4 linked regions of the Schizosaccharomyces pombe genome follow. The protein of the gene in region 4 interacts with the protein of the main gene of each other region in a pairwise test. Each region holds a gene or a part of one and is shown on either strand. Other genes may lie near its edges.

Region 1 (5,863 bases), on a different chromosome or scaffold from region 4:
AAGCTGACTAGTTGCGGGATCAGAATAAGAGCTGACCGGAGACGAGTAAGAATTAGTTTCTGAGGGAGTAGCAGATTCAGAAAAGATACTGGGTTCACTAGAGCTAGTGGGTGTCGCATACCCGTAGTAAGTAGGAGTTCCTCCAGTTTCAGCGGCACGACCATAATATCGGATTTCCTGACGCCTTTGTAGTTCCTCTTGAGAATCTCTGCCCTCAAGTTGATTTAAAGATATTTTTGTGAAGCTGGAATTACCATATATTTGATGCACCAAGAAGGCTTGCGTAAAAATGTTCGATATGCAAAATACGCAAATGAGAGAAAACAAAAGTCTCAAACCCATCTTCAGTTTTAAGGATAATAATAAACTAATCTAACTAAACTCGCTGTATTTTACTTCCAAAAGCAGAGCACTTCCGGAAGTTGTATATGTCCCTAAAGTCTTCCGGTATACTGAGAGGGTAACTTCATGACATATGACCTCGGGTGTTTATAGTACTATGAAATTACGTTATTTCAGTTGAGTGTTAGTTTCTTAACATAAAAAAATAAATAATAGAAGTTATTTATCTATATACTAAAATCGTAAAACCAAAATGCGACTTTTCCTTCTGATCAAGGATTTCACAAATAATTTACGGCTTCAAGATATGCGCTGATTTTTCGGATTTCATACACTGTAAACGCGAGATTTGAAAGCAAAAAAAAGTTGTTAGACTTCTCGAACTTTCATAAATAATCGTATACTTTATTATTAAAATCTACCCAATTTATTTTTTTTTGCAAAATCCATTATAAAGACTTAAAACCGACATTACAAAGAGAGTACGACACCTGCTTCTTTCAAAGAATCAATCATTTCTTGATCGAAATAGCGAGTTGTAGAAACATCTTCCACCAGACCTTTTCTACGTCTTGTCTTAATCAGAAAGTCTCTCGCCAAATCAGAGCCACGTGCGGGTTCTAATGGCTTGGGCTTGATAGACTTATCCAGTGGATCACCAGGTACTACCTGCCAATGATCAAATACCATTTGACACATAGCTTGACCCTGAGTATGCACTCGTAAATCTGTTTCAAATCCACAAGAATCAATGACTGGAATAAGTGCTCTCACCAAATATAATGGGGAACCTGGCCGAGGGATATCTTGGAGGACATGACCACGACGACGCGTTAATAAATCATAAATAATAGGAAGACTGTCAGCGGGGGCATGTACTTCAACCATATACACTGGTTCCATTAGCCGTGGAGACGCTGTTAAAAAAGAAGAATAACACACTCTCCTTGCGGTTGGAATAATTTGACCACCTCCTCGATAAATTTGTTCAGGTGCAAGCACTACATCCATCAGGCGAAAATTCACGTTTCGGATTGTCTCATCACATAGAGGACCTTCCCTAGTCCCCCATTGAAAACCTTGTTTAATGTATTCTTTTACGCTATTAAGCACGTTTTTATCAACATCTGTACTAAGAGTATCATCCCGCAATATATTCGTACCACGATCATCGGGACCAAAAGCCCAGATGGAACGTGAAGCTAGTAAGTCCCAATCGTAGTTCTTTTGGAAAAATTCGCTGATTCTTTTTTGAGGCCAATTGATATTAACTTTTCCATTTTCAATGTCATTAGAAATTCCTTTCTCCAATGGCTCAACTACCATTGTGATACGATTTTTTTTATTTGGAGTATCTGAAAAACACTTGATACTTGATGTGTCCACCGCAGTCTCACAGAAACGAGCAACTGGATCGGAAACTCTGATTTCGATTTCAGAGTATAAAGTCCGAAGATCATAAAGTAGACAATCCATATACATCTCACCAGTACCGAAAATAGTATGTTCCCCAGATTCTTCTACTTTTGTGATAGATAGTGGGTAGCTTTTGTTTGTTTTTCGTAGGCCATCAAGTAGTTTTGGTAATTCTGATGGATTGTGTGGCTCTACAGCCACCTTGAAAACACTCTCGGACATGTGAGCAATTGGCCTGAAAATGTAAGGATCATCTTTCAAATTGTCCGAAACGATGGTTGCTGTTTTGCTAATAGAGTTATCAACACCTCCTAAAAGAACTAGCATGCCGGCAACAGCTCCATCAACGTGAAGACGATATCGTGCGCAAGGTACACATATTTCAGCAATATGAGCAACCACCATATCCTCTTCGTCTTCTAAAGAATAATTTTCTCCAAGAACTTTAACTTTCTGACCCTTTTTAACCTGACCACTATATACACGAGCAAATGCATAAAAATTATTAGCATCGACGGTGTTGTAAAGTTTAGTAACATGCATGACTAATGGTGCTGATTCCTCACGACTCATTTCTAAGATAGCCTTGCCGATACTAGAGTTTATAGGCCCAATATATGATTGAGAGGCTTTACGAGCGGCATTTTCTCGAGGCGATGGAATATGTCTAGTAACTGCATTCACAAAACCAACGGGGAATCCAAAAAACGATGCGCAAATTAGTTGCAAGAGTGGTTTAGGATCTAATAAATAATCCTTGGGTTTTAAATAAATTTGGAAAGAAGATAAGTGTTTTTTGAGTTTTTCGGCTTCGTCAGAAATAGTAAGGGTATGTAATTTATACAACGGTTCTAATATGAAATGGACAAAGCTTCTAACGCCAGAGCCATCCAAGGACTGTTTGGCAAATTTTCTGGTTTTCGAATCGAAATAAATATCCCCCCACAATCTTTTAGAAAATAAGTCCACGTCGATACCTCCATGTCTATCTATATAGAGTTTTGCGAAACTAGACAATGTAAAACAATATCCAAGATCACATGAAGCAAAACAAACGTTCCCTAACTCAGGAGAAACGCGATATTTCAAATCTTTACTAATCTGGCAAATGTTATCGTTTACTTCGTCGATAACGTGTCGAAGTTTATGGTAAGCATCATTCGGAGGGAGACGTAGCTCAAGGATTAACCTATCAACTTTGTTCAAGACGAGCACAATTGGCATATCGTGAAGAATCGCATGTTTGATAATTCTAGTGGTGTTAATCATCACCTAAAGCATGTTAGAATCTTTATATCTTCAAAACGCAAGAAAAGGCCAGAATAACTTACACCTTCAATAACATCAACGACTAATACAACACCATCACTTATGGCCATAGGAGCAGCGACTTCATCAACAAAATCGACATGACCAGGCGTATCGATGCACTGAAATGCAAACGTCTTACCCTTCATATCAGAAACTGCGAGCGTAAGTGGAGTACTTTTTATAGACATCACACGTTCTCTTTCAAGATAATGAGTGTCGGTATATCGAAGTGAACGCCTTTTTGGCGGCTTGGTGTCAGGATGGGTATAATAAACGAGTAAATCTAATAAAGCGCTTTTGCCGTGATGCAGATGGCCAGCAACAATAAAAGATCTAACGTCATCTGTCCCAGTTAAGAGACCGAAGAGGAACCTTAAAAAGTTAGAAAAGACATTGTTACACATACTTACTCTTTCTTGTATACAGTATCTGGGACGTTTGTTGTTTCTATAGCAATCCTTTTGTGACGAATTGGCTCAATAATGGGCTGGCTTAAGGGTTGAGTATCCTGTTCCTGAACCATGATATCCACGTTGGACCCATATACCTCTTCAGCGCTAGGATAATATTGTTTATCCTCGTGAAGAACAACGGCATTCTGAGGCTCTAGATGACTCAACGCCATTTCCTCGGCCCTTTCAACGTCTTCTAATTCTTCATCAGGAATGACCTCTTCAAAGGATGGTACCTGTGCAATTGTAGGGCTAGGAGCCTGAGGAAACAGCTCCTCTTCATCTTCTTCATTTTCAGGGCCTATGTAATTTCCAAACCTGGCGAGTTAGAAATAACTATAAAATGTTTTTAGACCACTTACTCATCATATAAATCCTCTTCCATCATCAGTTACTGCCAAGTACCCACAATGCACAACTTTTGGTAATTACCAAATTTGAAGTAAAGTGTAACCAAGTTTTCGAGCTTTAGCGCATTCATGTCTCAACTGCGATTTATATCTCGTTAAGCTTTGATAATGAGCTAGAGAAATCATTGTCTTTATACTCTCTAAACGAGATATGATCGGCTCAGTAACTTCCACTACACTCTTTAAGGTTGCCGAAGAACGACATCGTCTCATTTTGATAGAAAGGAATGAATCGTAATTATTGAAAACCAAATATACTTTTTTATTTACCAACTTCCTCCTTAAAAGTCGTACATGGGTGTAATTGAGACCTTAAAAGACTGGTTATGTCTACGATTTGAGCTACCGACCCATGTTTAGCAGCCAAATTTATAAGCTTTTCGAAGACAATAGTAAGAGTAAATAGCCATTGTAAAAGTGCGGTGCAAACATTTTTAGAGCGCAAGTTTTGCAACTGTACAAAGTATTTAGTGTGTTTATAAAACACACAACAAATTGCTGAATGTCAATAACACTAATAATATACTGGCATCATCAACTAAATTCAAAAAATGTGTTTCCTTTCAAATACAGTCCTAGAATTGTTATTATGTGCAATGTTTACCTCGATTTACGGAACTGGTCAACCCATTTGTGGTCTCCAAATGATAACTCGTAGTACGATTTGATAGCACGATCAAGCATAATTCAAGAAGATGGAAAATATAAATCCACATTATCTTGAATAGAAAGAAACATAGCAATAAAGATCATTATCGTTATGTGCGACCATCGTTGCTCATGAATAAAAATGGGCTGGCAAAAGAAGACAGAGATACAGTTTAGACAATTCATCCAGCATCAGATTTTGGAACCATAAAATTATCATTAAATTGAATAAGAGCCAAATCAAAAAGGACTTAGCTATTTACTCTAATTCAAAATCCAACCAGCAATATCGTACTATAATAGTATTAGTCATCGTTATGACAATATATTGTCTAACGCGCTCTTACATCATACCACTGGATTCTGTAAATAGGGTATGTAATAAATCAGTTTTCGTGGTTTAAGATAGTCCGCATCAATCCAGCTTATGTAAGGAATACACCATGTAAAATTACTATAAAAGGAAACGGCGTCTGACATCCCACACTTACCGGATCCACTATAGTACTTGATCTTGATTTCTAAGAAAAGCGACAAAAGACACAAAAATGAGTAAAACTGCAGCTTCTTCCGCCGTAGATGCTTCACAAGCTGGGACTGTCAAGGTTGGCGACATGGTTGTCAATAGAATGGGATTCGGAGCAATGAGAGTTACCGGTGATGGTATATGGGATGAACCCAAAGACAAAGAGGCTTGCATCGCAACTTTAAAACGTTTGCCTGAACTCAATATTAACTTTATTGATACCGCCGATTCTTACGGCCCTGAGGTCAGCGAGAATCTTTTACGAGAAGCTTTATACCCTTACAAAGGACTTATAATTGCTACCAAGGGTGGCCTTGTTCGTACAGGTCCAAATGAATGGCATCCTTGTGGAGCACCCAAATTTTTACGTCAAGAAGTACTTATGAGCATGCGTCGACTTGGAGTTAAGCAAATTGACCTCTGGCAACTACATCGCATCGATCCCAAGGTTCCTCGCAAAGACCAATTTTCTGAAATTGCAGCTATGAAGAAAGAAGGATTGATTCGCCATGTTGGATTGAGTGAGGTTACAGTAGACGATATCAAAGAAGCTGAACAGTATTTTCCGGTAGTTAGTGTTCAGAACTTATTCAACCTTGTCAATCGTAAGAATGAGAAAGTGTTAGAATATTGTGAACAGAAGGGAATTGCGTTTATTCCTTGGTATCCCTTAGCTTCAGGAGCATTAGCCAAACCCGGAACCATCCTGGACGCTGTTTCAAAAGACCTTGATCGTTCCACTAGTCAAATAGCTTTGA
Region 2 (4,382 bases), on a different chromosome or scaffold from region 4:
AAGTAGTCCGCCTCTCGCATCAGATAGTTTTCGCTCAAAAATTGGAAACCAAATATTGTACAGAACAAACGCAGAAAGTCAAAAAGAAGTAGAGACGAAACCTGATTCAATCGAATAACACAGGCTGGTCTTATCGATCAAATTAAACGAAACCGCTCTCTATATGACAACTTTAACCGTGAGAGCAGTCAAAGTACGTTTCTTCTACGAGTGTTTCTTATTGAAAGTATAAAGTATTCTGGGTAAACAGCAAACTGTGGGATGAATAACCAGCATCGTGAAAGTGGCCAGTTTGGGGAGTTTTTCATAAACTTAGCGTATATGCCGGTAACCATGTTATAAACAGGCACATTACTTGACGGGAAATCGTTCCACGAGTCCCCAAGTGAAAGAAATGTAAATATAATAAGCGAAATTGTCGTGGGCATCAGTACTATACAAAAGTTGAGGTTTTAGCTCAGACAACTTTTTACCTACTAAACCAAACCTGGTTATGAGCAACAGACCCTTATTATAACATTAGCAATCAACAACAAAAATTTTTATAGTATTGATTTTTGATATCTTGCGTTCGTTCCGCTTTATCGGAAAGACTTTGGCAATTTTACCGATTCTCTAGAATCATGTAAAGTGACGAAAACAGAAGGCAGAAAGTCCAACCAAATATGGGCAAAAAAAACAACCACTTCAATAAATTGTTCCAGTTAACAGCAGTTTAGTTGTGTTCAAGTCAATTACCAGCGTTTCGCGTGAAACGTTACAGAAGTGTAAATAATGAAATACTGTTGCTTTCTCTTTGACTCTCATTCTTACACAAGGTCACTTTGCATAGTAGACCGTTGAAAAAGTAAAAAGGAATAGAGGAGAAAACAAGATTTGATTAATTTTTAACCACACCCAACGTATCCGCAAAATCTCATTGATTCAGTAACATTGACTATATGGTTCTTTCGGTAAGTTTGACTCGTTATTAAATAAAAAAAATAGAGGCAAATTGTTTGAATTATGTTTGCTATCAAATGATATCCATTGAGTTAAAAAGTACGCGATTTGATAGTCTCATGAAGACACACATAAAGAGAGAAAAATCCATCAACTCCACTTAAATTTAAAAAAAGGTGAGGTACATATAGAAACTTTAGTACAATTCGTATTGATCGCCTAAATCAATATTTTTGAAGTATTGAAAGTTCAAACATGCCTTACAGCTCATTTCTCATTACTTTGTAAGGTAGCTGGCTAATGACAACTATATATAGGCATTGAGCCATAAGTATGCTAACTTTCACTATTCATCGCTTGGCAAATCTTTTTCTTTATTAAATGTATCTCCTATAAACGTGGCACTACTTTTTTGAAAGTTATAAAGCACGTTGGGAGCTAATTTCAACTTTATAAACTTCGCAAAAAGTGAAAGAAAACACAAAGGTATAGATAGTTACAAGCCGCATTGCTAAGTTGATCTGATAATTCTTAACATCTAACGTAATCGAGTGTGTCGGAATAGTATTTATGAAAACTGTGAGATATCCCACTGAAAATGATTTATGTTGTCAAAAGCATCGTTAATACACTTAAGAATTACGCATTTCCTCGTGTGCCTTATTCGCAATAATTCTACTGTGTTGCTCACACTAATGCTAACAAGTACGGAATCCTAACTTAGGTGACCTAGCGTAATACTAGCTTCATTTACCAGTTGTTGTAATGCGTGCATTGATTTTCTTTCATACATTCTTGCAAGTAAATTTCCAAGTAATTTGAGGATTTATTTATTAAATTATTTCTCAAAGCTGCGAGAGCTTTTGGATTCATTCGAACAGAATTCATATGTCCATTATATCCATACAACTCGTACTCAACACCACTTCACACATCTGAGTGGAAAGTTGTTTATTATTTTCCAAAAATGGCCCTTTTATCCGAAGAACTTTCTAGGTAAACTTATATTTTTTTCTCAAATTCACTAACAACGCCGCAGTATACTTCCAAATCCTGATTTCGACGATGAAGAGGAAGATTATGTGGAGAGGGAAACATCACATGCAGATGAAAGACAAATTGGTGTCAAATTTCACATTCCTCCCTATGGACAAAGAAAGGGATGGTTTCCTTCTTCACCTGAAGACTTTGGCGATGGTGGAGCTTTTCCCGAAATCCATGTAGCACAATATCCTTTGGATATGGGCAGAAAAAGGTCAGCTAAATCTGCTGGTAATACATTGGCTCTACAGGTCACTTCTTCGGGCGCTGTTGACTATAATGCCATTGCTCGACAAGGTCACGAACATGGAGAGTTGGTACAGGCAAGCTTTCGAGATTTGATCCCCTTACGTGCACGACTAGGTGTGGGAGAAATTTCGTTAGAGAAACCGTCTGACGAGCAAAAGCAAGAAGTAGCGAATAAAACTAAGCTTGCCTTACAAAAAATACTTTCCAAACAAATCGCTCAGTCTCAACCTAAAAGTGCTGTGGTACAACAACGTGACGATCCTGTATACATTCGATATACTCCTAGCAATCAAATGGGACAAGCACTTAGCAAACAGAGGATTATCAAAATGGTCACAGCTGAACAGGATCCCATGGAACCACCAAAATTCCGTCACAAAAAGGTTCCTCGTGGACCACCTTCTCCTCCTCCTCCCGTCTTGCATTCTCCTCCACGAAAAGTTTCTGCTCAAGAACAACAAGATTGGCAAATACCTCCGAGTATTTCTAATTGGAAAAATCCGAAAGGCTACACTATTCCATTGGATAAGCGGCTGGCCGCTGATGGTCGTGGTCTTAATGATGTTGAAATCAACGATGGATTTGCCAAATTTTCTGAAGCATTGTACACGGTGGAGCGTCAAGCTCGTGAAGAGGTCCGATATCGTGCCATAATGCGCCAAAAGATGGCTGAAAAGGAAAAGCAGGAAAAGGAGCAACGTTTATTTATGCTTGCTCAAAAAGCAAGGGAAGATCGTATGGGTAGAAATGCGGCTTCTTCGGGTCCTTCACATGCAAAACCCCGCTCTACTTCTGTCTCCTCTGAAGAAAGAAGTCGTTCCAGAGCTGGATCGTTCTCGCATCATTCAGAGTCAGAAAATGAAGATGAGGATTCAGAAGCTTTTCGCCGTCGTCAAGAACTTCGCCGCGAGCGAAGACGCCAAGCTGAAAAGGATCTTCGTCTCAGTCGAATGGGTGCTGAAAAACGTGCTAAGCTTGCTGAAAAAGATCGACCTCGTGATGTCGCTGAAAGGGTTGCTTTAGGACTTTCAAAACCATCAATGTCAAGCGATACAATGATCGATAGTAGATTATTTAATCAGGCTTCTGGCTTAGGATCCGGATTTCAAGACGAAGACAGTTACAATGTGTATGATAAACCGTGGCGGGCGGCACCTTCATCAACGTTATATAGACCGGGTGCTACTTTGTCCCGTCAAGTTGATGCATCTGCAGAATTGGAACGTATTACTAGTGAAAGTCGTTATGATGTACTAGGAAATGCGCATAAAAAGTTCAAAGGATCGGATGAAGTCGTAGAGGTATGTTTCAATATCTTATACTTTTACTTAAATACTAACTTTTCTTAGTCTCGTGCTGGCCCCGTCACTTTCGAGAAAGATATTGCTGATCCTTTTGGTGTAGATACTTTTTTGAATAATGTTTCTTCAAAGAAAACTTAATTCTATTCGATCCTTGACACTGTCAAAGAAAATGTACATTATTGTATGGTTTTATTCATTGGAATATGACTGTCTTAAAAATAAAAAAAAGTACAATTTACGTTTTGTGTTTTTTTTGGATCAAGGCAGTTAATTCAACAGAAGTTCATATTTAGTCTTAAAAATTAATGTTTATTCTTCTAATGATTAAAGAGCTAGTAAATTTGAGCATCGTTTTTATTTGTATTCTTGTTTCAACTCTGGTAAACCAGGATTATGAAAGTATTTTGGTACAAGATGTGAAAAAGAATTAAAAGTCTTCTATGTAGATAATTTAATTTGTATATTTAAAAATTTTTGATGAGGCATATTTATTTATTTATCTGTGCTTTTTATCACTGGACATTCGGTTGTTTGTTTATATTTCGCTGATAAACGCTGTTTGAAACAAACCTGAACCTACTAAAGAGCAAAATACAGATAGTTCGAGAAATAAATTTTTACGATGTCTTTGACTGAAAACCTTCAATTATTATTAAATTTGGATAGTCTACCATCCAAAAGGTATGTTATCGTTACAATCTAGTCATAAATTCATAAATCATTCATTAACAAATATACCACAGAGAAAATTTAATAAAAAGAAAAGAATGTGGTTTAACAATCATGCTTTGCGGAGCCTCAGGTACTGGAAAAACAACGTTCTTCAATACTCTTTTTGCTACTTCT
Region 3 (6,632 bases), on a different chromosome or scaffold from region 4:
ACTACACAATCCTTCACAAATTCATTAAGAATATAACCGGAGAAGTCAAAATTTCCCAAAACTTTTAGAGCCAAAATATAGACGTCATTGGGAAAAAATCCTGTCTTCAGGGAAGCACTCTTTGAAGATTTTAAAGATCTTGCTACATATTGGGGAGGACATCCTGGAGGAATAAAAGGACGACCACTTAGAATTTTGCTGAGCATATCTAATAGTCGTTCCTGTATGACTGGTAATAATGGAGGTATATTATGGGCCAGATCTGAGAGAGCACGGTAAGAAGCCTCAGAAAGTCCGCTTGCAAATATTAAGTCAAAGAGGTCATACGCATAGTTTGAAAAGGCTTGTCCTAGTGCTATAGAAAGTAGGCTAATGCATTGAAAAATTGCAGCATCCGAAGCACTTTTATTACGGATATGGATTTTTAGACTTTCCTTGATTGAATCGCATATGGGGTCAAGATATGGGATTATGCTATTAGTAATAGCCACGGCAACTTTTCCAATAGTGGCAAACGCCAACATCTTAACATTTTCTTTTTTTAATAGATTAAGTAGATGGAGCATACAAACGTGTAAATAATTGGAAACAAATTCATCTGGATTATAAGCTGCGAGTGTAGCAATCAATTCTGTAACGGTTTTGCGAATAAGCAAATCTTTGTGATCTCTGAATTGCAATATAATGTCCGATACTTCTCGATACCTCTCATGCATAAACATTCCAGCTTTTAAAAATAATTGGCGATATACTAGTAAACTACCATGAATGTAATCAGAAGAACCCTGTGCAACACCACGTTGAGCTTCATTGAGAATACTTGTATACCATTGGAGACGGATGGATGAATCCCTTTGCCTAACGATTTTCAAGAACTCACTCAACGCATCAGCCGAAGCTATTCGAATAGTAACTTTTGGATCCCGAAGTCCATGCCATAAAAGCTCAAAAATTGAATCGATATGAGCATAGATTAATGTAGACGTATTTTTGGCAAGCTCCTTAAGTATAAGCACTGCTGCATATCTACGATTTTCATTACGTTCTCCTTGAAGCCATTCCAAAGCGCGTTTAACTTCGAAGTTCACAAATTCAGAAGTTAGAGCACCTCCAGGAACTGCAAGTCTCCCTAAAGCTTTTGCAGCAAGAACGGTGGCTTTTTGGTCAGTTCCTGGAAGAATAATACGCAAATAATTTGCAAATCTAGTAATCCTTGTAGTATCTTCTCCTTCATAATCAATTAGACGATTTATGGCAGTTACGCCTGCCAGACGATCGAGTGGATCGGTACTGTGAATTAAAGTATAAACGTACTTGTTAACATCATTGTTAAACTGAACTAAAGCTTCGCCCGATAATTCTCGAGAATAAGCTATAACATATTCATAAAGATCATTTGCCGCTTTATTGCGAATTTCTTCATTCCTGCTTTTCAACCCAGGAAATTCTTTCATTATATACAGCTTAAATTAGCATCATTCTCTCAATTAAACAAAATTATTAAATGTGGTTGGTGGTGACCAAACAAGCACCTGCTGTACTTTTGCACCTAATTCTTAGTATACGCAGAGAGGAGATCAATAGAAACACGATTGAAAAAGTAATATTTTTATGACGATTAATTATTTGTAATAGATATACAAGTTAATATTTAGTGTTCTCAAAAAATCCAAGTTTTATTAAAAAAAGTCTAAACTTAGGAACTTTGGTAAAATACCAAAAACGAGTGTTGATTATCTAAATTTTATTTTCGAAGTATTACTTTAAGTTTTTTACTTTACATTTTTCTCAAAGCTCATAGAGGAGAACAAATAAGAATCGCTGTTAAAGATTCTGACGCTAACCACCAAGTTCACAACACTTGTGATATTGCTAATATCCCTTTCTCTATTAAATGGTTCTGTATAAAAACAAAAAAAAACAAATCATTAATTATGCAAATTCGAATTGGGGTCAAAATGAAGGTGTAGAATTTCAAGAAACTATGCTACAATGCATCCTCGAAGCTGTCATTGTAAGTAAAGATGCTAAGCAAGTACTTAGTCTGTTACATGAGTTAAAGCTTTTTGAGAATTTCCTTTGGCAGAGGGTTAATACTGAGATGTCATTGAACCATATAAACTTAACTTGTATGCTTCTATTATACAAATCCAAATATGAATATATTACATGGGACCTCATTGATGAAAATCGGTTTCAATTATTTTTTGAAAAAGTAATTGAAGTCTCTTTATCCTTAAATTTATCAGAAGTGGTTTACATGATTCAATTCATTACTCTCTGTTTTCAGTTTTCGAATATAGAGAAATTAAGGAAACTTGTTTACCAGTTAACGAACATTTCTATTTTAAATTCGCTTGATAATCTTGATAAAGTAAAATATTTACTACATGACTCAAGCTCTCTGACGAAAGCCTTTGATTCTTATAAGGAAAAACGACCGTCTATCGTTGAAAAGTTCCCTTTACATAATTTACTTTCCCGCTGGATTCATTCTCTGCTTATTAAATCGATTAGCTACGCTCAAACTGAAAAACAAGAAGCGAAAGTAACCCCCCTTTTAGCAATTATCAATATGTCTTTGGTTTTACTATCCGCATTTCCCACACGTCGCTTTGCTCATCCCGTAATAGAAGACAGTTGTTTTTATACCGCATTAAGAATGTCTTTGTATTACGACAGTAATGAGCTTTTTAAAAAAATGACAGACGACTTAAACTATGTTTTGAAATTCCCTTTTGATAATACCAGAGGTAACGAATATGAGAAAGAACAAAAAATCAGAAATGATGAGCTTGTGTACTACCACTTACAGTTAACTTTATTTTCGGATTTTCAGAAGGAATTAGGGGATCTGGTATTTTGCACACAAACCTCTTTACAACAGCGACAAAAATTGGAGGAAATTACGTCTTTTCTTTCCTTCAATTCACTTAAGTCCTTGTGTAGTAAATGTTATTTGAGGACTTCATTTCCCGAAAAATATGCTATAAAAGTGGATTTCGAATTTTTAAAAAATGTTTTTATTAACACGTATGATAGGACTAGATTGGTAAATGATTATGATGAAATCATAAATTTTACTTTGAAAGATGTACTTGGTGAGCGATCCGTGATGGACCAAGAAAACTCTTTGACCAATTACTTCCTACTACAAAACACTGCTATACAATATCTTTCTATATCTTTTTTTATGAGACAACAGAGTAAAGCTTACAAAAAGTTATTGTTAAGGTCACTATATGCTGAACTTTTAAATTTCAGTGAACAATACAGGAGACTATCAATTAAAAATGCGACCAAGAATTTGACCAAAGATAATTTTTTCTCTTTAAATAACTTTAAAGTTACCTCCGTTGCTCCACCTCAAATCGGTCAAGTTTTACCTCAATTTGTAAAGTGTCAAATGGGTTTAAGTCGACCTGGACCTTTTCATTCAGCGTTACGTGATTTAAAGAATTCCATCAAGAGCCCTTTTCTTTGCTTAATATACATTTCTAAAGATATGGAGTACAAGTTATTACATGGTAATGCGCTTGACCCCTTAGAAGGGGTGACTGATTTTACAATCGCGACGATATGCAATGATGATGTTGGAATGTTTCAAAGCGATATGCAGTCAGATTCTGACAACAAGTCCATCAATGTATACCTAAGCCCATTTTATTATCATTCCCTTGCGGGGTTGGGGGAATATCGCCCTAAGCAATTGAAGTTCAACTTTGCTTTGGTACTGTCTCCTGAGGCAAATAAGTATTGGTTGGACTTAAATATTCTTGTATCTTTACTTAATCGCGCTAAAGAATTTCCTAAATGGTTCGAAGATTTATTTTTGGGTTTTGGAACGCCTGATATATGTGCTTTTCCTAATGCTGGGCTTAATTCTATTTATGCTAGAAACTTGTTCAATACAGTCGAACAGTTGCAATCAGTACTTCCTAATTGTCATGTACCTTCTAATTTATCAACTGAATCTTTACTAATCAAATTTTATACTAATCAGAACAAAATATCAGCTGATGTTACCGCATCTGATAGGCATTTTTTACTACCATCAAATCGATTATATACTTACAATGACAAACAGCTAGAATCGATTTTACGTGGATCTCAACCAGGATTAACTATGGTTAATGGTCCAACTCGTTGTGGAAAACATGTTTTGGTATGCAAACTTCTAGAGGTTTTACAAGACACATCTCCCAATGATAGAACCGTTGTACTTTCTGACTCCAATTTCTCTATGAATACTTTGTTTACCTTACTGGAAAAAGCTAGATGTTTTCACCAAGGGCACCTATTATATCTATCTGATGAAGGAAAAGACGAAACGTTGGAACGTTATGGTACTTTATCGTCTTGGATATCTAAGCTTCCTGGTCTTCTACGAGAAATCGGTCGCCTAGCTGCTTCAATCCAGGCTCCAGGTTCTCATGACGCCAGCCCAGATACGGCTTTGTATTTTAGGGATGCTTATATTAAGCGACTTTGGGAAAAGTACTTGAACACGGTAGATGATAAGGATTCTGTGGATGCCTATAACAGGTTCCCTTTCCATTCGTATTTCGGTGACAAATCTAAGCGTCCGATAGAAACGTATAATAAAGATAATTTTTTCGATTATGCGACAAAGTTATACGGGGAGTTAGAATATATGTTCCAACAGCTGGAAGAGATCCGGCCTTTTGGATTACTGAGATATTATGAAGATCAAGAATTGTATGCATTATGCCAACAATCTAGGATTATCGGATGCACTTGGACGAGCTTAAGTACACGCTTAGGGACTTTGAAAGAAAAGGGATTTTGCTTTAACAATTTAATTGTTATGAACTCACAAAATATAAGTGAAAGCTCTATCACTAGCATACTACTTTCAAACTGTGAACCAACTGGTTTTGATCGCCTTGTTCTTCTGGGTAATCAATATCTTACCTCTGGGAATCAGGATATAAATAATACGTCAAATGGTTCACTTTTCAAACGTTTGCGGTATTTGAAATCCAGAATTATTGACCTTAATACGCAATACAATGTTAGAGAATCTATCAGTTCTCTATGTTCATCAATTTATCCTTTGGACATCAAAACTGTGGATTCTAGTCCCAATAAAAGACTTGATTATGGTAATTCGGGGTTTGCACATGAGGTCCAATTTATTAATGTGGGAGCTTTTAAAGGTTCTCAAGAAACAGAACCCGTTAGCGGTTATAAGCAAAATCTTGGAGAAGCCGAGTACGCAGTTGCCTTATTCCAGTACATGCGAATGTTAGGTTATCCCACCAACGAAATTGTAATCTGTACGCTTTATGAGAGTCAAGTCAGCCTTTTAAATGAAATTATATCGGTACGCTGTTCTCATAACTCGTTTTTTGGTCAGCCTGCTTTTGTAGGTACCGTGGAAAAATTACCAAGCGATAAACGGGTAAACTTTGTTATATTTACGACAGTTGAATCTAAAGAGGCCTCTGATCATTGGAATCCAAAAACATTTTATAAAGCCTTTTCAGCATGCTCATATGGTCTGTACGTATTGTGCAACCGTGACCTTTTTCGCTCTACACGTGGTCTTGAAAAACTGTGGAATGAAATTGAAAAGACTCCTGACAAGCTGCTTTTAACCACGGGAGAAATATATCCAAGTTCTCACAAAATCGGATCTTCCGTTGAAACATTTGAAATTGAAAATTTACTTCATCTCTCAAACTATGTTGTTGAAATGACTAAAAAAAGGTTAAATACGAATTAAAATAAAAACCTACTTCATATAGACTATTTGCTTGTTGTATTGAATTAATGATTATTTGTAAGATTAAAGTCATTTTATTTCATTGCTTTTTTGCATAATTAACTTATTTAAAAAACTAAATAGTGAGCTTTACAAACAATAAAAAGTTGATCCCCTCAGAAAAAGTCTTAGGTGTCATACCGATAATAGCTCACTACTTTATTCAACTATACAACAAGTTGGGTAATACATTATTTGCACGAAGTTAACGTCCAATGATTGATTGGTCGAATGAGTAATAAATATAACAATTTATTAAAAGAAGTTGCAGCTAAATATGCTAGTATCATTCTAAATGATGCGAAAATTAAGTCTTTAACTTCAATAAATAGTGCCGAATATCTATATGATTCATTTGTTGAAATTAGTAAATTACCACTGGAAAAGAAGCTTCCGTTAAAATGGAAACTGATTACAGTAAAGGAAAATATTTGCACGAAGACAAATTTAACCACGGCAGCCTCTAATATGTTGAAGGGTAGACAATAAGAATATATTTCAGTTACTAATTGCGGTTTAACTAGACTACAATTCTCCGTTTGATGCGTCAATTGTCGAAAGCTTGAAGAAAGCCGGCGGTATTATTCTTGGTAAAACAAATATGGATGAGTTTGCAATGGGAGTCAAGAGCGAAAACAATCTTTTTGGTCGCACTGTTAATCCTGTTGTTAAGGATAGTAATTACGATGTTGGGGGCAGCTCGGGAGGAGCTGCTGCTGCAATCGCGGCGGATATATGTTATGCATCAGTTGGTTCAGACACAGGAGGATCAATCCGTCTACCTGCTGCTTACGTAGGTTGTGTAGGTTTTAAACCATCTTTCGGCAGGATTTCGAGATATGGA
Region 4 (5,137 bases):
TCTCTGGACGAACCCATTCGTGTTACATTATTTAATGAATTTAGAGCTATTGGTGAAAAACTCGTCTATGTTTTGTATCCCAAAAATGCTCAAGTACTACGCGACTGGGACTTGTGGGGTCCTTTGATTTTTTCCCTCGTAATTGCTTTAGCACTTGCCTTGTCTACTGACAAGATTGAACGAGAATCTGTTTTTACAGTCGTTGTCGCGCTCATATGGTTTGGGGAAGCGGTTTGTTCTTTAAATATAAAATTACTAGGGGCCAACATTAGCATTTTTCAATCTATGTGTATATTGGGGTACTCCTCTTTCCCTTTAATGATTGCTTCTATAGTTTGTGCATTCGTTCCCTTAATATTTATACGCATACCTGTGATTGTTGCAATGTATGCCTGGACATTGTTCGCTGCTATGGGTGTTTTACAAAATTCTAATCTATCCAACAAAAAATTGTTGGCAGTATACCCTTTATTCCTTTTCTACTTTTCTCTAGCTTGGATTATCTTTTTATAAAACTTTCGTTTTATTTCAGGCATGATAATATACACTATGAATGATAAGCTATGACAATTATTTAAAACAAAGTGAAGTGAAGTTTAATTTTGTCCAGTAACCCTAGCATAATCTTGTTGAGCATACGCCTCGATTTGTTGCATTTTGCTTAGCTCTATTTCAGCTGCTTCAAGCCTATTAGGTAGAGCTAATCGCTCCTGATTGTATAGAAATTCGTAGCACGTTAAATTTTTCCTTTCTGTTTGCAAAGCCTTCCAAGCATGCGAGATTTTCTTTATCAAAAAATTACGTTGCTCATATGAAGATCTAACCAAATCATAAACCCGATTTTCCAACTTGTTACATTCCAATGCTTTCTTAGCTAAATCTCGTTGAATGTCGTTCGTATAAAACTTTTCAGCGGCTTCAACGTCTTCATCGTCTTCCTCGTAGATTACCAAGCCTGGCAACAAACTTGAGGTGTTGTGAAGTGCACTGTACGTTTCCAAAAATTCCTTCTCGAATTGGATATAATCGTCACTTTCTAGTTGCCCTATCTCTTTCTTTAGTAACAATCTACACCTCTCAATTTCTTCATTTGACAAATCAGGCACTTTGTTAGCCGTTCCTTTCACTTTTGAATTTCCAAACGGATAATTAATGGCGTCCGATGAAATCAAAGCAATCATTTCTTTCAATAAAACATTTGCAGTCGGATCTTCATTTTCAAGTGAACGCTTCCATTTTTCTGGTTGTGTTACAGATGGTCGAATCAAATCTCTTTGAATAACCTGTGACCTCCTCGCTTTTGCCAACCTTTCTTTTTCTGCAATACGTTCTTGGATACGACGTTCTCGGTCTGTTGCGTCTTCTTCAAGCACTCCAACAGTAGCTTCAACATCAGTTTCGTCCGCAAATCGAGGCTCCATTAGTTCATAGTCGTTTTTAGGTTTAGGTAGTTTTGCAAGCAATTCTCGCAAAGCCTTCAATCGAATTTTATTTTCTCTTTCACTTGCTAATCGTCCTGCTCGCTCCGCAGCTGCATTAATAGAAAATGTGTCACGTGGTGTTCTAAAAGGAGTTGCTTGAGGTGCTGCCAAAGCTGAGCCATTAGCTGCATGACTGGGAGTAACTCCTGTGTAACCAGTACCACCAGGTTGTAAAGGTATACTTTCCTGACCCAAGAGAGAAGATTGTTCGCGGTTCCTCATCAATTGATTTCTAACTTCAATTGTAACTGAATCCTCTCTTCCCTCAAGTTCACCACTAATTGGTGTTCTCAATGGAGTAGCTCGTTCAATTTGTGTATACTTTCCTAACAAATTAGTACTGTAATTAGCATCTGGAGTCGTATCAGTCATAGCGCGAGCACGATCGCCTGCAAAGCCTAGTTTCACTACTTTATCCAGTTCATCTTGAGACACAGTAGGACTAGGTAAATTCAACTTCCGCCTCTTGCTCATCTGCTCAGCCTCGGCAAGACGTCGCATTTTTTCTTCTTGGGCATCTTTGTTGGGCTTTTTTACTCTATCAATAGGTTTTGGCTTTTCAAAATGACCAAATTTTCGACCTTCGGATTCCATTTCATTATTCCGTATTCCATTTTCAATTATCTTCTGGTCCGCTTCTCGCTTTTCCCGAAAATTTTGCCTGTCCTCTTCTGAGGTATCATAAAAACCAATCGCTGGCTTTTTTTCAAATGGAATAGAAGCGTTATAATCCATTTCATTCTTCTTTCGACGGAAGAGCTTTATACTAAGTTATAGATTAACATAATGAAGGAAAAACAATACAATAAAGTAATAATAATAACACATACTTGATTCCAGCTGCCTTCAATTCTCTTCGCTTTTGGAGATGTGACAATCTTCTAGTTAATTCAAGCTGCTTTTCTCTATCCTTTCGTTTGGCTTTCTTTCCTTGTGTGTTTGCTAAACGTGCACGTGCTTCACTCAACATCTCTTTTTCGTCTTCATCCATGTCAATGGCATCAGGGAGTGCAGGTAGGGTTTCTAAATTGGGCTCTGCTTCGCCAAAACGAAGCCGGGAATTTGGATCGTTAACAGGCGCAGCTGCTTCTGCACCTTCTCCACTGATCAATCCCAACTGCTCGTTCTCTTTCGCTTCCAAATCATCAAGAAGTTTTTGATAGCGTTCTAAACATTGAGTGGCCGTCCGACCTACAATTGGAGCAATCGTCCGCCACTGTGTAGGAAGTAACTTAGCTAAGTGTAATAATTTTTCGTCCTCTTCACGACTCCATTCAGTCTAAATGTGAAGGAAATGTTAACAATAGGTCTTGTCAAATAACAAATAGTGATTACATGTTTAACATACCTTTTTAATGCTTGGATCGATCCATTCATACCAACGAGCTTTACATTGTTTAGGAGTTTTGCGAACCAGCAATGAACTTATGCGGGCCCATTGGTTTTTACCGTATTTACTGACAGCAGCCTAGGAATTTGCGTTAGTATTCTAAATATTAAAGGAAATATGTAACTAATAAATAAAAAAATACCTTTAAGATTTCATCCTGTTTACCAATAAGTTAGTAACAAAAACATTGCGCGTGGTAGAAGGTTAAAATCATAGTCTTTACCTCTGTATTTTTCCAGGCACCTAAATTATGTTAGAAAATACAATAAAAAAAGTTACAAACCTCCTTTTAAAACAACCATTTTCTAAATATTCGCCAAAACCCTGACAATTGTCAGAAAGCGTGGTAATGGAGGTTTGTAGTAACTGTAACAACTTGCGACGAAACAGGGTGGATGGGAAATTGAGGTAAATGTCGAGTGCAGCAGAAAGTGACCAAAATTATATTTTATATTTAAAGTAGTTTTAACTTTTAAAAGAACAGTTTCTTAAACACACTAATAGTCAAACCAAATATTCATTTTATTGTTTTTTCCAGTTTGCTACGTATCACATATTTACCTTAAATTATTTCAATGTAGCACATGTTTCTTTATCGCAAAAATATAATAGCGCAAAATCGTTGGACAACATTAAATTTTTTTGAATATTCCTAACCGTTGAGTATTAAGAAAATATTTGACAAGCAGGATATAGCAATGATCAAATATGTTTATCTTGAAGGTGGATCTACCATACTCTTCCTCTTATTTATGGTTGGTATATCAACAAGTAACTACAAGCATTGCAGTATTATGTGTATCGTTAAGTAACCTAATGACCGCGTATTTGTCAGCAATACTACACTACGTTACATATCACTATATGTCATATGTTGGAATACTAATTAAGATCCGTCTATTGATCATCACGGGTAACTATCCGTCTATATACATAGATACCCGTTGATAGCAACTATTTAGAAATATTATAAATAGAGTTTTAACTGAACTGAGGAACGAGGTTCAGTTATAAGCTATATTAGTGATAGGTAACATTTTATAACCTAGTTAATACAATACCTATACTCAGTTGCTACTCATACGACCTGTGTATTGTAATATAATAGACCACAAGGAAAACTCACCGCAGTTCTACGTATCCTTAAATTAGATAACAAACTGTGTAGCTAGCAGTATTGTGAAAAATAAAATAAGCAATGCAAAAGAAGTATAATGTATCACGCATTTCAATTTTAATGGAATACACTCAAGTTCATTATTTTTATGGGTACTTTGCAAACATATGAATGCATTAGTTTAGCAAAAGCTTTCTTAGATTCTGTGTGAAAACATTAAGAAACTGCTTTATTTGTTTGTTTCTGAAGCTCATCTTTTACTTTCTTTAGGTTATATTTTGCAAATTGCCGCTTTTTTTATGCTCGTCCATGGGTTATCATCTATTTGTTAGACAAACCAACAAAGTTTACGATTGAACAATTGTTCTATTTATCATTATCGAATTTAAAGAAAAACTTAAGGTTTAAAAGAAATGTCAGTGCTCGGGAAAACTTTACAGGAGAAAGTCAATCTCTTGGCTCAATATCCTCAAACAGGGTTGTCTTTAAAGCAATTAGTGTATTTTGGTAAGAATTTTTGCTCAGTTAATTTTTCTTAGATTACTTCATACTAGAAATTTTATACTGACTGCTTAATTTTTATTATGAAGGCAAGAACCCTACACCAGGAACACTTTTCCGGGCTGGCTTGTTTTTGCGAGATGAATTGCCCATTCGCTTGGCTCGGCGCATCCAAGACCTGCAGAATCTTTCACCGATGCTACGAAGTATGAAGCGTATATCTTCCGTAAAGGCTGCTTACGGTAGATCTATGGAGGTAGGTCAAATGTGTATATTTGCATGTTCGATACTTGTCGAAACATAACCAGAAATCAAACAAAGCTAACTGGTTGAAGGAAATTATTGAACTGAAAGGAGTGGAACTACCGAAATGTCTTCCAAAGCACGCTCGATATCACAATGCCCCGAAATGGAGGTCAAGTTTAATGGACTCTGAAATTCTTCATAATCCCTCGCTTGCAAATACTCATTTAGACTCTTCAAAAGGTCGCTATTTTGAAACAGATTTTTCTGACCAAGATAATGGCGTTGATTGTAATTGGCCCGAATCTTTGTTAAAATTTAATAGTAATTTTGCATACCTTTTAAATACCATTCGAACTAGACACGATAACGTTGCAGTCGAAATTGCTTTGGACATACAAGAAT

Evidence for each region.
Region 1: the proteins of cdc5 (region 4) and cwf10 interact in binary tests that used the Schizosaccharomyces pombe proteins (3 or more experiments, as listed by UniProt).
Region 2: the proteins of cdc5 (region 4) and prp45 interact in binary tests that used the Schizosaccharomyces pombe proteins (3 or more experiments, as listed by UniProt).
Region 3: the proteins of cdc5 (region 4) and cwf11 interact in binary tests that used the Schizosaccharomyces pombe proteins (3 or more experiments, as listed by UniProt).

What each region holds. Positions count from the first base shown.
Region 1 is NC_003423.3:4,050,647-4,056,509, reverse strand, and holds cwf10 (GTPase Cwf10), read right to left. Parts: upstream 3,955-5,863; 5' UTR 3,910-3,954; coding exon 3,884-3,909; exon of another isoform or gene 3,840-3,883; coding exon 3,480-3,839; intron 3,442-3,479; coding exon 3,090-3,441; exon of another isoform or gene 3,031-3,089; coding exon 814-3,030; 3' UTR 531-813; downstream 1-530. Other genes in the region: protein Mtl3, read right to left, coding at 1-342; SPOM_SPBC215.11C (aldo/keto reductase family protein), read left to right, coding at 5,128-5,863. UniProt on the Schizosaccharomyces pombe protein: Component of the U5 snRNP complex required for pre-mRNA splicing. Binds GTP.
Region 2 is NC_003421.2:1,500,783-1,505,164, forward strand, and holds prp45 (Prp19 complex subunit Prp45), read left to right. Parts: upstream 1-1,860; 5' UTR 1,861-1,909; coding exon 1,910-1,938; exon of another isoform or gene 1,939-1,981; coding exon 1,982-3,533; intron 3,534-3,581; coding exon 3,582-3,674; 3' UTR 3,675-3,882; downstream 3,883-4,382. Other genes in the region: SPOM_SPCC188.14 (uncharacterized protein), read right to left, coding at 189-428; septin Spn6, read left to right, coding at 4,159-4,217, 4,280-4,382. UniProt on the Schizosaccharomyces pombe protein: Involved in pre-mRNA splicing.
Region 3 is NC_003423.3:920,831-927,462, forward strand, and holds cwf11 (protein Cwf11), read left to right. Parts: upstream 1-1,841; 5' UTR 1,842-1,894; coding exon 1,895-5,749; 3' UTR 5,750-5,811; downstream 5,812-6,632. Other genes in the region: TORC1 serine/threonine protein kinase Tor2, read right to left, coding at 1-1,454; gta1 (glutamyl-tRNA amidotransferase alpha subunit), read left to right, coding at 6,020-6,266, 6,313-6,632. UniProt on the Schizosaccharomyces pombe protein: Involved in mRNA splicing where it associates with cdc5 and the other cwf proteins as part of the spliceosome.
Region 4 is NC_003424.3:2,692,794-2,697,930, reverse strand, and holds cdc5 (splicing factor Cdc5), read right to left. Parts: upstream 3,233-5,137; 5' UTR 3,174-3,232; coding exon 3,155-3,173; exon of another isoform or gene 3,115-3,154; coding exon 3,095-3,114; exon of another isoform or gene 3,038-3,094; intron 3,029-3,037; coding exon 3,014-3,028; exon of another isoform or gene 2,950-3,013; coding exon 2,830-2,949; exon of another isoform or gene 2,761-2,829; coding exon 2,312-2,760; exon of another isoform or gene 2,248-2,311; coding exon 597-2,247; 3' UTR 514-596; downstream 1-513. Other genes in the region: SPOM_SPAC644.13C (Rab GTPase-binding protein), read left to right, coding at 1-513; [pyruvate dehydrogenase (acetyl-transferring)] kinase Pkp1, read left to right, coding at 4,402-4,495, 4,579-4,745, 4,825-5,137. UniProt on the Schizosaccharomyces pombe protein: Involved in mRNA splicing and cell cycle control.